2 linked regions of the Alligator mississippiensis genome follow. The protein of the gene in region 1 interacts with the protein of each later gene in a pairwise test. Links are inferred from orthologs where the notes say so. Each region holds a gene or a part of one and is shown on either strand. Other genes may lie near its edges.

Region 1 (7,851 bases):
TGGCCTGACTCCTATTGTGTACAAACTTCTATTCAATTAAGCCTCCTGAAAACTAAAGGCTTTAAAAGATTGTACTTTGATAGTCCTTCACCATTCAGGGGGGCTGAATAAGGACAGCAATACCATGCTCCAGAAGCTCTGCAGCATGCGATGATCCCATACCTATTTTGCCAAACAGAAACAGCCCAATTTTGCCCGAAGACAACATTTACCTTGGACAAAGCCAAACCAAATGCTGCTGCTTGCCTTCTTTAAACATGGGAGTGGCTGTGGAGACTACAGGCCCTAGCATGCTATGAGCTAAACAGATGACCTTCTGGATTAAGATGCAATACTGAAGGCTGAGACCTGTAATTTCCAAGGGGCTGTGTAAAAATAAGCAGCTGTGCGTCACATTGTATGATTGCTATGGATGCATTTAGCTTATTGATCAGCCTTGCTCAAATACAATCACTGTATGCCTACAAGATAAAATGAGTTAGTTTGTGATAACATTTTATGTTATGGGATGTGAAATGTAATCATACACTTCTGGTTTTAACTTCTTGTTCGTGTATTAAAACTACATCATTGCTAGAAGAAACATCACCTCTGAAACACGTGGATGGTGCAAACTACTGCAAAGGGCATCCTTCACACTCTTGAAATCATTTAAAGAGAGGTTAAATAACTTGTCCAAGTCGCTACAGCCAGTCCTCACCAAACCTGGGATTAGAATTCAGCAATCTGCTGCTGAGACTGTTCGGCCATGCTGCCTTGGCTCAGAAATGACATCTTCTGGGGCAAATCCTGATCATACACCGAGATTCAACACACTATTTCAGACTTGTGTCTGAACAGTCCTTACAGCTTTAGGATTTCAATCCAGTAGAGCCCTGGATAAGCAGATTATTAACTTTATGACCATGTACACGGTAACTGGGCCAACCAGAATGAAGGAGCTTTTTGTATTCAAGCCAAATTTCTGCAATGAGACCTTTAAACTTCTCATTTCTGTGCGATCAGTTATCTAAAAGAATCATTGGAATAACTGCAAATGTGTTAAGGGATAGAGGGCAAGAGGCCATCAGGATAATCCATCCACTGGTCCCCGAAGGCAACCTACACTATTACTGCACCGATTTGGGAGCACTGTTGTGACATTTGCTTTACCAAGGTTATATTCATTCCTGTGTGTAAGGGTTTAAACACACTCATACAAAAGAAAATCAGCTTTAAGCACTTGACTAATATATGCAGGGATATCATAATTGAAAATCACAGCCTTCAAGCTTTAACACATTGCAAAAGCATTGGTTTACACCATAATCCATAGTGTAATTACACTAATTGTGGAGGTGGAAGGATTTCTATTGCATGGATGTTCCCCACTACAGTTCCCCTTTACACATCTGTCTGCGCTTAAAACAGAGCAAGGAAATGCATGGATACTGCAGTTACTTCAGGGAGTCATCTGAAACCAGTTTACCATCTTCTCCCAGCATGGAGCTGCCAGTCCCTGCCCCCCCCGCCCCACGAATAAAAGATAGGCATACCCAACACAAGCCACCCGAATCCCGACCTCAAGAGTCCCAAAACGACTCCCTTCCTAACCCTGCTCCTCCTCAGCACTTGAAGGCCGTGAGTGCTGGTCTCCAAGGCTCCCCGAGTTTGGGGGGGAACATTACAGACGCGGCTGTGGCAAAAGAAACAACTGACTAGAGGCACGGCGCACGTTTGAATACCGACTGCACGCCGCAGCGACGGCCTGGACCAGCCCCGCTTTCCCCCGGCTGCAAGCAGAGACGGCTGCGCTGAGCACGGCACCGCAGCAGCTGACACAATCACAAGGCAACCCCCCTTTTTTCCAGCTCTGCGCACAAAAGTATTTTTAAGCCCCCCCAAAGGCATCGGGGGCTGCCTACAGCTGCGGCCGGGCGCTTCCACTGGGCTGTGCCAGCGCTCTGCCAGCAGCCGAGATGCAGGATCCTGCCTCCGGCGTTAGGGCTGTGTTGCATCAAGCTTGTCTTACGCACAGTTGAGATGGTTGCACGGGACGGTCTGCACAGGGGTTGGACAGGCCGGCCGCTCAGGGTCCCACTGATGCTGTATTTGGGGTCAGGAAGGAATCCCCCCCCCCCCCCCGACCCCAAAACCAGACCCCCAAAATCAACCCCCCTCCAAAACCAGACCCAAGAAAAATCAGAACTGCCTCGAAAATCAACCCCCCTCCAAAACCAGACCCCAAAAATCACCCACTCCAAAATCAGCCCACCACTCCAAAATGAACCCCACGCCAGTCAGACCCCAAAAGTCAACCCCCCTCCAAAAATCAGAGCCCCCCCTCCAAAAAACAGAACCCAAAATCAACCCCCCTTGAAAAAAGTCAACCGCCTCCAAAAATCAGACCCTAAAATCAACCCCCCTCCAAAACCAGACCCCAAAAATTGGACTCCAAAATCAGACCCCCCCCCCAAAATCAACCCCCCTCCAAAAACCAGGCCTCAAAATCAGACCCCCCCTCCAAAACCAAGCCCCCAAATCAGACCCCCCCCTCCAAAAATCAACCCCCTCCAAAATCAGACCCCCCCTCCAAAAATCAACCCCCTCCAAAGTCAAACCCCAAAATCAGACCCCCCTCGAAAAATCAACCCCCTCCAAAACCAGACCCCAAACTCGACCCCGCTCCATAATCAGATCCTCAAATCACGCCCCCCCCCACCCAGGTGCACGCCGGGGGGCGGGGGGAGGGGTGCCGGTCCCTTACGTGCTTGAGGCAGCGCTCCTTGAGCTTCTCCACCGTGGTGTCCTCCGAGACCTCCTCCAGCCACTCCGCGCCCTCCGCGCTGCAGACGTGGAGCCGCAGCACCTTGCCGGCGAAGATCTTCTCCTCCTGCACGAACATCGCCGCCCGCTGCTCTCCTCACCGGCCCAGCGGCATGGCGGCGCCCCCGCCGCGCTGAGGGGCCCCGGCCCCGGCCCCGCCGCCCCGCACGGCTCCTGTCACGGCCGCGGCCCCTGCTGAGGGGACCAGCCCAGCGCCGGAAGTCGCGGCCGCGCTGCATGCTGGGAGCCGTAGTCTCCCCCTCAGCCGCCTCGCTCGCGGCCGGAAGTGGCCGCGCACGGGCTGCCGGGAGTTAGGCTGCCGCCGCCGCTGAAGTGCCCAGTGCATGTGGGAGTTGTAGTCCCCCCGACATGGAGACTGGGAAGCGCTGCGGTGCATTATGGGAATTATAGTCCCCCAATATGGCGGCGGGGGGGCGCTGCGGTGCATTGTGGGAATTATAGTTCCCTCCAACATGGAGGCTGGGGTCATTGCGATGCATTGTGGGAATTATAGTTTTCCCCCAACTTGAAATATGGGAGGCTCTGCGGTGCATTGTGGGAATCATAGTTCCCCCCCCCCCAATGTGGAGGTAGGGAGCCGCTGTGGCGCATTGTGGGAATTATAGTCTCCCCGAATATGGAGGTTGGGAGCCGCTGCGGTGCATTGTGGGAATCATAGTTCCCCCAAAACATGGAGGCTGGGAGCCCTGCGGTGCATTGTGGGAGTTAGAGTCCATCCTCTTGAAGGCCCCGGGCACAGAGTGGGGAGGAGGATGGATGGTTCCCAGTGCACTGTGGGAATTGCAGTCCTCCCCCCTCCCTGGGCCTACAGCGGGGTCCTGCCAGCTCCCCTCCCAAGGATGGCAGCCTGCCCCTTCTCCTTCCCCCATGTGTGCTAGAAGCTCTCCCTCTCCACCCCTACATCCACCTTGCCCCAGTGCACCATGGGAGCCGTAGTCCCTGTCAGGCTATGGAACCCACCAGGTGCATGCTGGGAGATGCAGACCCTGCAGGCAGGGTGGCTTCAGATGCATTGTGGGAAGGGGCACCCTTCAAAGGATCTGGTGGCACCCTAGGACCCTGGTTGAGAATCACTGGCGTACAGTGTGGGAGAGTCTCGTCTCACTTTTTCACCCCCGATTCTTTTGTGGACAACATCCAGCGACATTTCATCAATGTGACATCCTGCAATACGTCCAGTTTGGGTTTCGGTCCCTTCACCCCACACCCGTCCACCTTCACCGACTTTCAGAAATCTACCTTAGGGGCTAAGGCTTATGGCGGCCCCTCCAAAATTAACTATATATATAAATGTTTTGCAATTTCTCATCTGGTCCAATAAAAAGTCTCATCTCCGAACCAAGAGTTGTAGATTTGTGCATTGCAGGGTTGATGTTGGGGAACGCAGGTCACAACCATGGACCCCCTGAGTTAGGAGCATCCTAAAATCAACCCCGCTCTGGAGTTAGACCCCCAAATCAACCCCCCCTCCAAAAACCAGACCCCAAAATACCCTCTACACCACTGCTACCAGCACCACTTGTGAATCACATCAGGAAATGGGCTTACGGGCCTTCAGGTAGTGAAACACTGGCTGGGGAATTTTGGATTCACGGTGAAAAATGTTTGTTTTCCCTCCAAAAGTGAAGAAAATATGTTAAAATACATTAAAATAAGCGGAATGATGTTGGAATATACATGCTTTAAATGAAAATGCAGAACCACAAGTCAGACCAGCTGTAACATGAAAATAGGTTATCCTAGAATAATTGGCTTCAGCTGAACGCAGGAAGACAAAAGACAGTGAGAACCACCTTATTTTGTAATGGAAGAAATAGAGAGAGGACTAGTCTGACACCAACAAAAGTCAAATATTGTCTCTTGAACGTAGCCGTTGTTAGACGTGAGGCACCGTTCCCGGACGTCCGCAAATGACTGAAAACGGAAGCTTTGAGACTCGATGCAGAAAAGGCTCTGACTTTTGTGTTCTCCTATTTCCGCAGTCCACGTGTGACTATTAAACAATAAAACCAAGATAAGTTGGCTACTGGTCTGTAAAGAACATTTGGGAACCTGCTTTTATTGAATGGCTCTTTTTGAAGCTGTGGGACTTGATAAGAGCAGCTCAATTTAGCCAGTAGGGGGAGACAAGAAACTGTATTGAGGACAGAAAAGATGAAGAATTACTGGAAATATAAAATATATTAATACTGCGATTGATTTATTAGAGCAGGGGAGGCATATTCTTATCCTTTCATCCTCTTCTCTTGTTTTTCTTTCACTCCATTGTAAGGTCATTCATTTTGCTCTTCCAGTTGGTTTGTGCTGATTATGCCGTTACAAATGAAAAAAAAAAAAGTTAATTTTTCATGTTTCTGGAATTTGGTAGTAATATTTTTGGGGGGGGAAAAAAAACCAGATTCAGTTCAGACCATCTCTTTGTTTCCCTTGCATCTGCAAAAACAGTGTCGTGCCAGACGGACAGATATTCCACAAACACTACATTTGCCAAACCCAGAATTAAAACAAAACATAGTATTTAGATCTAGGTGTCTTCACATGGGCAGCGAAACCCAAAACTGGCTTTTGATCTTTCTATTGAGGTGATTTCTCAAACTCATACAAGAGAACCAAGGTTTCCTGGCTCTAAGTCCCCATTGTAACCAGGAGATGAAACACCGTTTCTTACCTTGCTGCCTGCCTGCATTGAGACATGTTTTACCCTCCCTGTGTCTCAATCCTCCACTGCACCCGGGGCTCGCTTCACTCACTTTCTTCCACCCTTTCTCCGTCTTGTTTATGTAGACTCTGTCTCTCATTCTGTAATTACACATCACTTCATCACAGAGCCACAGGGCCCTGATTTTAGGTGGGCCTCTACATGTTAGTGTAACACAAATACATATTTCTAATTAACATAGGGTCGATCTCAGGAAAAAGAGATTCTAGCGCTCAACCCTTCCCTATGAAAACGAGGCACTCTTCCCTGGACCTGTTACATGCAACATGGGCCGGGAAATTTTACATCTCCATGGAGCTACAGCTGCACCTGACTAAGAATGGGATTTGGCTTTGGTGGTCACAGCGCACAGTGATCATTTGACTCCATGAAATGCAAATGACGTCCTACAAGCCACTTCCTGCTAATGCTGATGCATTTGCCTCCGCTTATACCTACCAAAATGGAAGGTGGTTTTAGAGAGCAGCCTTCATTCTGAGGTTTTCAAGTACAGGAAAAACTCCCACCCTTTCTAAAAAAGCAACATGTGCCAAGAAAAGCTACTGGTAACATATATACCCTGCCTGCTAGTTTACCCACCAGCAGACCAGGCCGGATCTTTGCAAGGTGGAGATTTCACATCTCCGTCTTTACATGATAGAAAGTACTCCTCCTTCCACAGCTCTCTAGCACTTACCCATTTTTATTCTGAAAAGAAGGGAGATGCCCCATTGCTTCCCAGAGTCAAATCCCACTGGATACTATTTAGAGAATACTGTATATTTGCCTGCATGACAAAAATATCTGGGCGCATCCATAGGCATTAAAAAAAAAGTCTCTCTTGGTGCAGAAAATCAAGCATTCCTTACTCTGGACAATAAATCCCAATTGCACCATTAGCACAAGTCTCCAAGCCAAAGAAAACAGATGCATTTTGGACTCTGTCCTGAAGGCCGACAGACCACAAGAGGGAGCAAACTTCCCCTTAGCTGAAAACTTGCCAGCTCCCATCAGCTCTAGGGAAGGGCTGCCAGAGCCTTGCAGCTCACAACAGGTCCCCTTTCCTTATGAATGACCAGTGCTATACGCCATCAACCATCAGGCTATTTGAGCGTGCTATGCGGTGTTCCCTCTCCATGCATACATTGGGATTCCCGCTGTTATGAACACAAGATCAAAACGGGGTGAAAAGCCGACCTTGCAATATTAAGCCTTGCTTTTTAAAAGCACCTTTCACTTGCAATGCCCCATGGCGACAATGCCATTAAACCTTCCCCGGCAGCGATTGTCACTGCTGCTCGGTAAAATAGCGGGTGCAAAAAACAACAGAACTTTGTAGCTTTTCTTGGGGCATTGCCCGGCACCTTGGCCTGGGCGGGCGGCTCTTGGCAGAAAGGACCCGTCTCTGTTTTCGTGGTAGAAGTGAGGGGCAGGAGGAGGGAGTTTGGACTTCACCTCTCCCTGCCCCTCTCCGTGGTGCTGAAACACTGGCTTTTCTCTGAGCCTGTCCGCACCTTGGGGGCTGATCGGACACCCACTGAAGGCCAGACTTCTCCTAAACTTCAGTAGGAGGTCCATTAGTCACATTCACTTTTATTAGGCCAGCTCAAATAGTTGGAAATTTTTTTTTTTTGCAAGTTTTCAGGTATAAATACCCTTCGCCAGACTGAGGAAGCGTCTGCAGTTGGTCTGTGCTCAAACTATCTGCAGAGGCTTCCTGAGCCCGACGAAGGGTATTTATACCTGAAAGCTTGCAAAGATTTTTTCCAACTATTTGAGCTGGTCTAATAAAAGCTATTACATTTACCCCATGAACCTTGTCTACCGATGTCCTTAGACCAACACGGCTACAACCCATATCCATTAGTCACGTTAGTCACTTGGTTCCCATCATATTCTTTACATTTTTAGCTGTTAATTATGTCCTACTGCTGTGGACTGATGTTTGCAAGACCCAGGGTGGCTGCCAGGCACAGAATCAATCGAACCCCTATAGGAACCACTTCTCACACTTTTATTATTATCATCATTATTATTTGTTCAATGGGACTTCTACTAGTTGCACAGTCCTGGGAGACCTGGAAACCTTGTGTCTGAATCAGCAGCGCAACTCGCTGAAATCCTAGCCCTTTCTCTCCCCTAAGAAGGGATCAAACAGCGGATTACATTCAGAGATATTTAAAAGCAATAAGGCAGCACTCAGGTTTCTGCACGGGCCTAAATTGAGCTGGGAGCTTTGTCTGAGTCCACGATTTGGTGGAGTTTCACACAACCATCCAGCTGTTTTATCAACAGAAATCATTGCAGGGCGAGGGAACTTTTTGGAA
Region 2 (7,555 bases), on another chromosome or scaffold:
AGGCTTCTTCATATAATGGCAAAACTTTCACCTTTTTCCCAATATGGATATCTAACACTTTTATATGAGAGATCTTCTCTGAAGTGCTGTTGTTTTATTCAAACATGGCTTATGCAGAGCTCAATCTGTATTTTTTATCTGTGGTGAGAAATAACACTGTTAGTCTCAAAATTTACTCATTTACTCAACAGTCCAGTTAATATCTCAGTGTCTATCTCTCAGCAAAGCCTTAGAATCATAGAAAGTTAGGGTTGGAAGGGACCTCAGGAGGTCATCTAGTCTAGTCCAACCCCCTCCTTAACGCAGGACCATCCCCAGCTAGATCAATCCAGGCAGAACTTTGTCAAGCCAGCCTTAAAAACCTCCAAGGATAGAGATTCCACAACCTCTCTAGGTAACCCATTCCAGTGCTTCACCATCCTCCTAGTGAGAAAGTTTTCCTAATCTCAAACCTAAACCTCCTTTGCTGCAACTTGAGATTGTTGCTCCTTGTTCTCTCATCTGTCATCACTGAGAACAGTCCAGTTCCATTCTCTTCCGAACCCCACTTCACACAGTTAAAGGCTGCTATCAAATCCCCTCCTCTGTCTTCTCTTCTGCAGACTAAATAAGCCGAGTTCCCTCAGTCTCTCCTCATAAGTCATGTACCCCAGCCCTCTAACCATTTTTGTCCCTCTCTGCTGACCTCTCTCCAACTTGTCCACACCCTTTCTATAGTAGGGGGCCAAAAACTGGACACAGTACTCCAGATGTGGCCTCACCAGTGCAGAATGGAGTGGAATATTATAGAAGAATACCTTCTCTCTATCTGCCGGCAATGGTCCCACTAATGCAGCCCAGTATGCTGTTAGCCTTCTTGGCAACAAGGGCACACTGCTGACTTATATCCATCTTCTTGTCCACTGTAACTCCCAGGTCTTTTTCTCAGAGCTGCTGCTTATCCAGTTGGTTCCAAGCCTGTAGCAGTACATGGGATTCTTCTGTCCTAAGTGCACAACGTTGCACTTGTCTTTGCTGAACCTCATGAGAATTTTTTTGGCCCTATCCTCCAATTTGTCTAGGTCACTCTGAATCCTAGCCGTACCCTCTAGTGTATCTACTACTCCCCACAGCTTGGTGTCATCTGCAAACTTGCTGAGGGTGCAATCCATCCCATCTTCCAGATCATTAATGAAGACATTAAACAAAACTGGCCCCAGGACCAACCACTGGGGCACTGCACTTGATACTGGCTTCCAGATAGACATCGAGCCATTGATTACTACCTGTTGAGTCCAACAATCCAGGCAGCTTTCTATCCACTTTACAGTCCATTCATCCAACCCATACTTCCTCAGTTGCTTAAAATAATGCTGTCTGTGGGAGACTGTATCAAAAGCCATACTAAAGTCAAGGTATATTTTGTCTACTGCTTTCCCTGCATCAACAGAGCCATAGATCATCATAGAAGGCAATCAGGTTGGTCAGGCATAAATTGCCCTTGGTGAATCCATGCTGACTGTTCCTAATCAACTTCTTCTCCAATTGCTTAGGAAGGGATTCTTTGAGCAGGGACAGCCCACAATTTTTGGGAGCCCCCTGCAAGAAATAGTTTTGGGGCCCCCTGTGGCGGCTGGGGGGGGGGGAGGGGGGGCGATGAGCAGCCAAAGAAGCCAGTGGTGGCGGGGGGTGGTGAATGGCCAGACATGAAGCCGGTGGTGGCAGTGTCATTGGTGGCAGGAGGGAGGGGTGGCAAGCAGCTGGACTCAGGAGGGCCCTTAGCTGTGGGGTCCCCTGTGGCCGCAGGTTTTGCAGCATAGGACGGACCAGTCCTGTCTTTGAGGATCTGCTCCATGATTTTTCCAGGGACTGAGGTGAGCCTGACTGGTCTGTAGTTCCCTGGATCCTCCTTCTTCTCTTTCTTAAAGATGGGTGTGAGAAAGTAAAAGAAAAGAGGGCCTGAGTTACTGCAGGGGGGGAGGGAAATAGTCACTGCAGGTGTGGGAGTGGCCCTGACCAGAGCAAGACTGATGCAGATGTGCTTCCATAGTTCCTGCTCCCTCTGGATTGGTGGAGGGAGCCTGAGGAAGAATATTTCCAGTCCCAGAGAGGGGCAGCTGGGAGAGGACACTGATGGATTAGGCAAGGGGATGCTGGAGACCTACCCAGCTCACAGAGTCCTAAAGCCATCTGTGCCCAAGAGCAGAACATGAGGGAATGGTGAGGAGCTGGTGAGCAGAGGGCTGTGGCAGTGAGGACCACAGCAAGGAGCCAGCAAAGACAGAGAGACTAGGGAAAGTCATCACTGGATGAGCCCGGAAGCTGTTGAAGGTACAGCCTCCCCACCCTTTTTTTTTCCCTGTTGGTTGTTTTTTTGTTGTTTCATCTCCTCACTGCACTGGGGTACAGGGAGAAAGAGAAGAGCCCCTACCCTGCAGAAACCTTGGTTGTCCCACCCCAGGAAAGCCAAGCCAGAGGGGAGGTAGTTTGATTAAGAGCCATGGTACCAGTAAGAAAACCAGGCATGGAGGACAGGTGTTAATTTAAGACTGATCAAGTTAAAGGTTCCTGGCAAACCAATTTTCATTGTCTGTCTTGTGTATGTGCAGGGAATTTAATTTGATTGTCTCGTGAGCCTTAAATTACTTGACTGGGAGTGATTGTCCCATGAATTGGAGGAAAATTGATTTAAGTTATTTGCTTGATGGACTATTCAATGAATTGATATAGTGAAGTTGATCCTTGGTCTCTTGGGAACTGACTAAAGTTGGAGGCCTTGTGGTGCCTGAATCAAGTGATTTGAGTATACAAACACAACCATTTATTAAGCCAATGAATAGCTGCCGGAGGTACAGCTGTTCCACGCAGGATCCAGACCATGACGTTTGCCATCTGATGTGGGATAGCAAGGACGGGGTGTAAGGGGAAGAGGAGTCCTGTGAAGAAAACCCTTGGAGGACTCAGTGGAATCTTGCCTTCATACTACATCCACCTTTTGATAAGAAGTTCCATCAAGATGTGGCAGGCAAGGATAGAACACCTGAGGTAGGTGGCAGTGATATTCCCAGGTCCCTTTCCAAATGGCACATGTGAGCCATATAGGGTTATCCCCCAACAATGGGCACTATATTTGCCCTTTTCCAATTATCTGGGACCACCCCCTCCCCCCTGTAATTGCCACAAGTTTTCAGAGATAATGGTCAGTGGCTCTGCAATCACTTCAGCCAACTCCCTCAGCATCCTCAGATGCATTGCATCCAGCCCTGTGGACTTGTACACGTCCAATATTAATAAATAGTCCCTAACCAGTTCTTTCACCACTGGGGGATGCTGACCTCCCCAAACGGTGCTGCCTGGTGTAGTAGTTTGGGAGCTGACCTTGGCTGTAAAGACCAAGGTAAATGTGAAGACCGAGATCACCTTATCTGACTTTTTTTTTTCTAAGTGAAATACCAAGTTTTTGGAACAGGTTGTAGATCTGATAGTTCTCTTAAATAGGAAATTTCAGTATTGTTTAGAATGGACTCAATTTATTTTAGCCATTACACTTAATTTCTGGGTTCTAGAAATGTTAACTCTGGGAACCAGGTAAGAGGGCTAAGCTTAACATTAGGTAACAATTCATACACTGGACAGCAACTCAAGAAATAAGGCATTACAGCTCTTCTTTGGAAGAAGATTTATTTAATGAATTTGACCGCAACATTTAACCTCATGATTTCTTGCTGCATATATGAAAAAAAATCAGCTAAAATTTGATATCTTCCATGTATCAGGTATCCAGATTTTTTTAAATTAAATCTTCATATTTTCCCAAGCAGCTAGCAACTGTGACCACCAGAAACCTGAGATCCTTTGTTTCAAGGTGATTTGCATCCTCATCACAGATCTCACAGGAGGCGAGAGGCTCCATACCAGCTATGAACCGACTGCCCAGAGGAGTTTTCCATCTATTGACTCCTCTGTGAAATCCTACGAAATACGAACTTTCATTTCTACCCAGGAGAACTTTTACAATCTTTTCTTTGATGCCTGATGAAGGGTGTTTGTGCCCGAAAGCTTGCAATTAAAGAAATTTTTTTGCAAAAATCTTGCTGGTCTAATAAAAGATACCTACCTTCTCTACTCCGAGTCCTGATTGTTTTTTCTTCTAGAGCAATACCGCTACAACCTGGATACCTGATGCAAGTAGAAAAGAAACTCCATGTTGTGCAGGGCAGTTAGAGGCCAGCGGGGCTCCCCTGGGCTTCAACGCTTTTACTATTTAATATTAACAGCACAAGGATGGAATTAATCCCCACACACGCGACAACCCCCCCAGCCCTGGACAATACTTGGGCTGACGGACGAGGGGGCGGGGCGTGGAGAGCTCGGGAGGGGGCGGGGCCTGTCCGGATTGGAGACGGCGCTCTCAGGGTGACGTGCCCCCCGCGCGGTGGTGGGGGGCGGCGGTGCGCGCAGGCCTGCCCCGCCCCCGCCCTCCCACAAGCCCCCTCGGCCGAGGGCGGGCTCAGGCGGAGCAGCGGGGCAGCAGTGGTTACTTCAGCAGCCGGAAGCGGCCTGTCGCCTTCCGGAAGTGACGTCACGCCCCCCTCTCTCCCCGCGGAGGCGGCAGCGCTAGAGCCGGGCGCGGCTGGCGGCGGGGCCCGAGGTGCGGGCGGGATCATGGCGGACGGCGTGGACCACATAGACATTTACGCCGACGTGGGCGAGGAGTTCAACCAGGTGCGCGCGGCTCCCCTCCGCCTCTCCCCCTCGGGCCTCCCCAGCCCGGCCGAGGGGCTGCGTCGCCTGCCGGGCCCGCGGCGGGGAGGCCCAGCTCGGCCCGGCCCGGCCCGGCCCGGCCGCCATTGTTCGCGGCCGCTGCTTTCCCGCGGTGGGAGGCCGCCGGCGCAGGCCGCATGCGCAGCGAAGGCAGCGGGAGCCACCAGCAGCGGCCTGCCTGCTTCCTCTCCGCCTGGCCCTGGCCCTGCCCGTGCCGGGGTCTTGGTGGCGGCGGAGGAGGGAGGTGGGGAATGGCTCCACCTCCCGCGGCTCATCCGCGTCCGGGCCGGCGGGAAGGTGCGCGGTGCTCGGGGAGGCGGGAGCAGCACGGCTGCCTCCCGGCCGCCGCCCGCCGCCCGCTCAGGCAGACCAGTGGCCGCCCCGGCTAGAGGAGCCGCCTCCGGGGGATGGCAGAGGAGGCCTGAGGTGCTCAATTGCTGAGCTACTAAAAGGCCAGAGGCTCGAGGGGCAGGGATTGGCCTTGTGCTGGTCCACCCTGCACAAACACTGAAACAAAACAATCCCAGAAAGGCAGACCTGCCCCAGGTCTTCTCAGGAGTGGGGCAGCCCTGAGAGACTCCCCGCATCTCTTTTAAATAGCCCCGTGGTGCCTTTGGCCCCCTGGCGATGGGGATGCTGTTATTGCACTTTTCACTTGCACCTCAACTGACAGACACTTGGATTTTCTTTGAAATGTGTCAGTCTTTTCTCCCCCTCTGAAAACAAAGTGCAAACTGCCCTGCGCGTCCCTACTGAAATGCATGAGCGGGCCTCCCCCAACCCCACTAACAGCTGCAGTTACCTCAAGAAACATAGTGGTGGTTTCATGTGTGGTGGTGTCCCCCACTGCGTTGTTCCTTTCTGCAAAACAAGGGATCAAGTAAAGAATCTGCCCTCAGCAGATCGACCAGACTCACTGACCAGCTGATGTGTGGCAGTGGGTGTATAAGCAGAGGGAGGTTCATAGAGACTCAGGCGATAAGGAGGAGGGAGGTGACTGTGGGATTGTATTGGAGTGGTGGTTGGAGAAGAAATTGTGTCCCAAAATTTAAATCAATATCTAGAGGCTTGGGATATTTTTCAGAAAATAAGGTCATTTTTAAAATTTGATATTACGGAAGAGTAGCAAACTGTGAGGCAAGCAGGCAATAGAGAAGACTGGTTTGTTCATTTAAGACTTTTGGGTTGTTTAAATGGGAAGGATATACTGGTATAATGTGGAAGGGACACCCTGGGCCATAGAGTCAAGTTGCCTGCGTTTGTTATCCCGAGAAATCCCCATTGTCATCCTCAGCCCCTTACACTCTGCTACAAGGCATCATACCAACAATACCAAGAACGCTGTGTGATATGCTATAGGTAGAAGCAGGGACGACAATGACACTCTACCTGGGAGAAATGTTACAATCTTTGCCTTAAAGCTTGCAAATTAAAAAAAAAAATTGTAACTGTTTAGTTGGTCTAATAAAAAATACCACTTCTACCACACTGGCTGCTTGTACTTTTAGACCAACATGGCTACAACCTTTATCCCTGCTACTAAGTTAACCTGGAAGCAGTTGGTTAATATATACAGAAGATCCTAGGAGAAGGATCATGCCCATGCTGTTGAGAAAAGCAGTAACCCCAATGATCTCCTAATCTGGCCCAGACAAAAAGTTTTTGCTGGGTTTGAATTTTGTTACTGGTATGATCTTGAGTGGCAGTGCAGGACCTTCTAGCTGGGAAATTGTTTTCTCAGTGCCATCAAAAACATCAGCATGTCCTGGTTGAAACCCCCTTGCCTTACCTTACTGGAGATTGTGGATTTTAAGTGGTGCAAGCCCCAATGGGAATGGTTTTGTTCTTGTTTAGTTTAGTTTAGAATGGGTTCCCATTAAACCAAATTAAAGCCTCTCTTATGCTAAAAGAAGTATGTCCAAGAGCAATGTTGCACTATTTGACTAAACTAGTGTAATGTAAACTGGTGCAAATTTGTTTGTATTCAAGCCATTAAAGTAGGTAATTGATTGCTTGGAAAAATGGTGCAAATATTTGACGTTCTTGCTACTTGTATGGTTGCAGAAGAGACCTTGATTTTATCCAGTTTCTTGCAGTATATCTGTGTGATTCAGTTTTACAGAGGTGGTGGGTATATGTTGGGTGTTCTTTGCAATAAGTCTGCCAGTCAGAGCAATGGCATCAATGAATACATTCTGATTGTACTTCATTCAGGGCTCCTACTTAAGATGCACCTTTCCTGTATTGTTTGGTTTAGTCTCGCCTTGCATGTCTTCCTTTCTGCAGCAGATTTATTTTTGCTTGCAAATAGTAAATGCTATTTTCCATATAATTTTTCCTTTTAGTGATAACGTTTCAAAATATCTTCTGAAAAGTTTCTGATATCTTGTAAGTAAAATTTTAGGGGATAATTCCACTCAAAACAGTCATAAAACTTGGGAAGCTATTTCTGTTGTGAGCATGTGATCCCAGTAAAATGGCAAATGTCCAGGAAGCTTTTTGACTGGACTCTGCTTTTCTATGGTTAGTATATGTACTTTCTGCATAATTATTTAGTCTAGTTGCATTCTCGGTTTTTACTAATGTTATGATCTAATTTGGTACTGACAGCTATGGATTAATAGAGCTAAAAGAAATTCTAGTTAATCAAAATATTGTAAACCTCTTCTCTACATTTTTTGTGGTGACAGTGCATGGTTTGTTGTAATAGAAGATTCCAACAGACTAATTAGAAGCAGCATACAGGCTTGTGGGACATTACTTCTTATTTTTCTGTGCTTAAGAAATTCACCCAAGCTGTTTCAGCACAATT

What was found.
Region 2: the proteins of UBAC1 (region 1) and CPSF6 interact in a two-hybrid assay, tested with the Homo sapiens proteins (2 studies listed by BioGRID and IntAct). The link is inferred for Alligator mississippiensis from reciprocal best matches to the Homo sapiens genes UBAC1 and CPSF6.

What each region holds. Positions count from the first base shown.
Region 1 is NC_081835.1:63,767,370-63,775,220, reverse strand, and holds the start of UBAC1 (ubiquitin-associated domain-containing protein 1), read right to left. Parts: upstream 3,013-7,851; 5' UTR 2,885-3,012; coding exon 2,747-2,884; intron 1-2,746.
Region 2 is NC_081827.1:69,658,181-69,665,735, forward strand, and holds the start of CPSF6 (cleavage and polyadenylation specificity factor subunit 6), read left to right. Parts: upstream 1-4,549; 5' UTR 4,550-4,644; coding exon 4,645-4,704; intron 4,705-7,555. UniProt on the Homo sapiens protein: Component of the cleavage factor Im (CFIm) complex that functions as an activator of the pre-mRNA 3'-end cleavage and polyadenylation processing required for the maturation of pre-mRNA into functional mRNAs.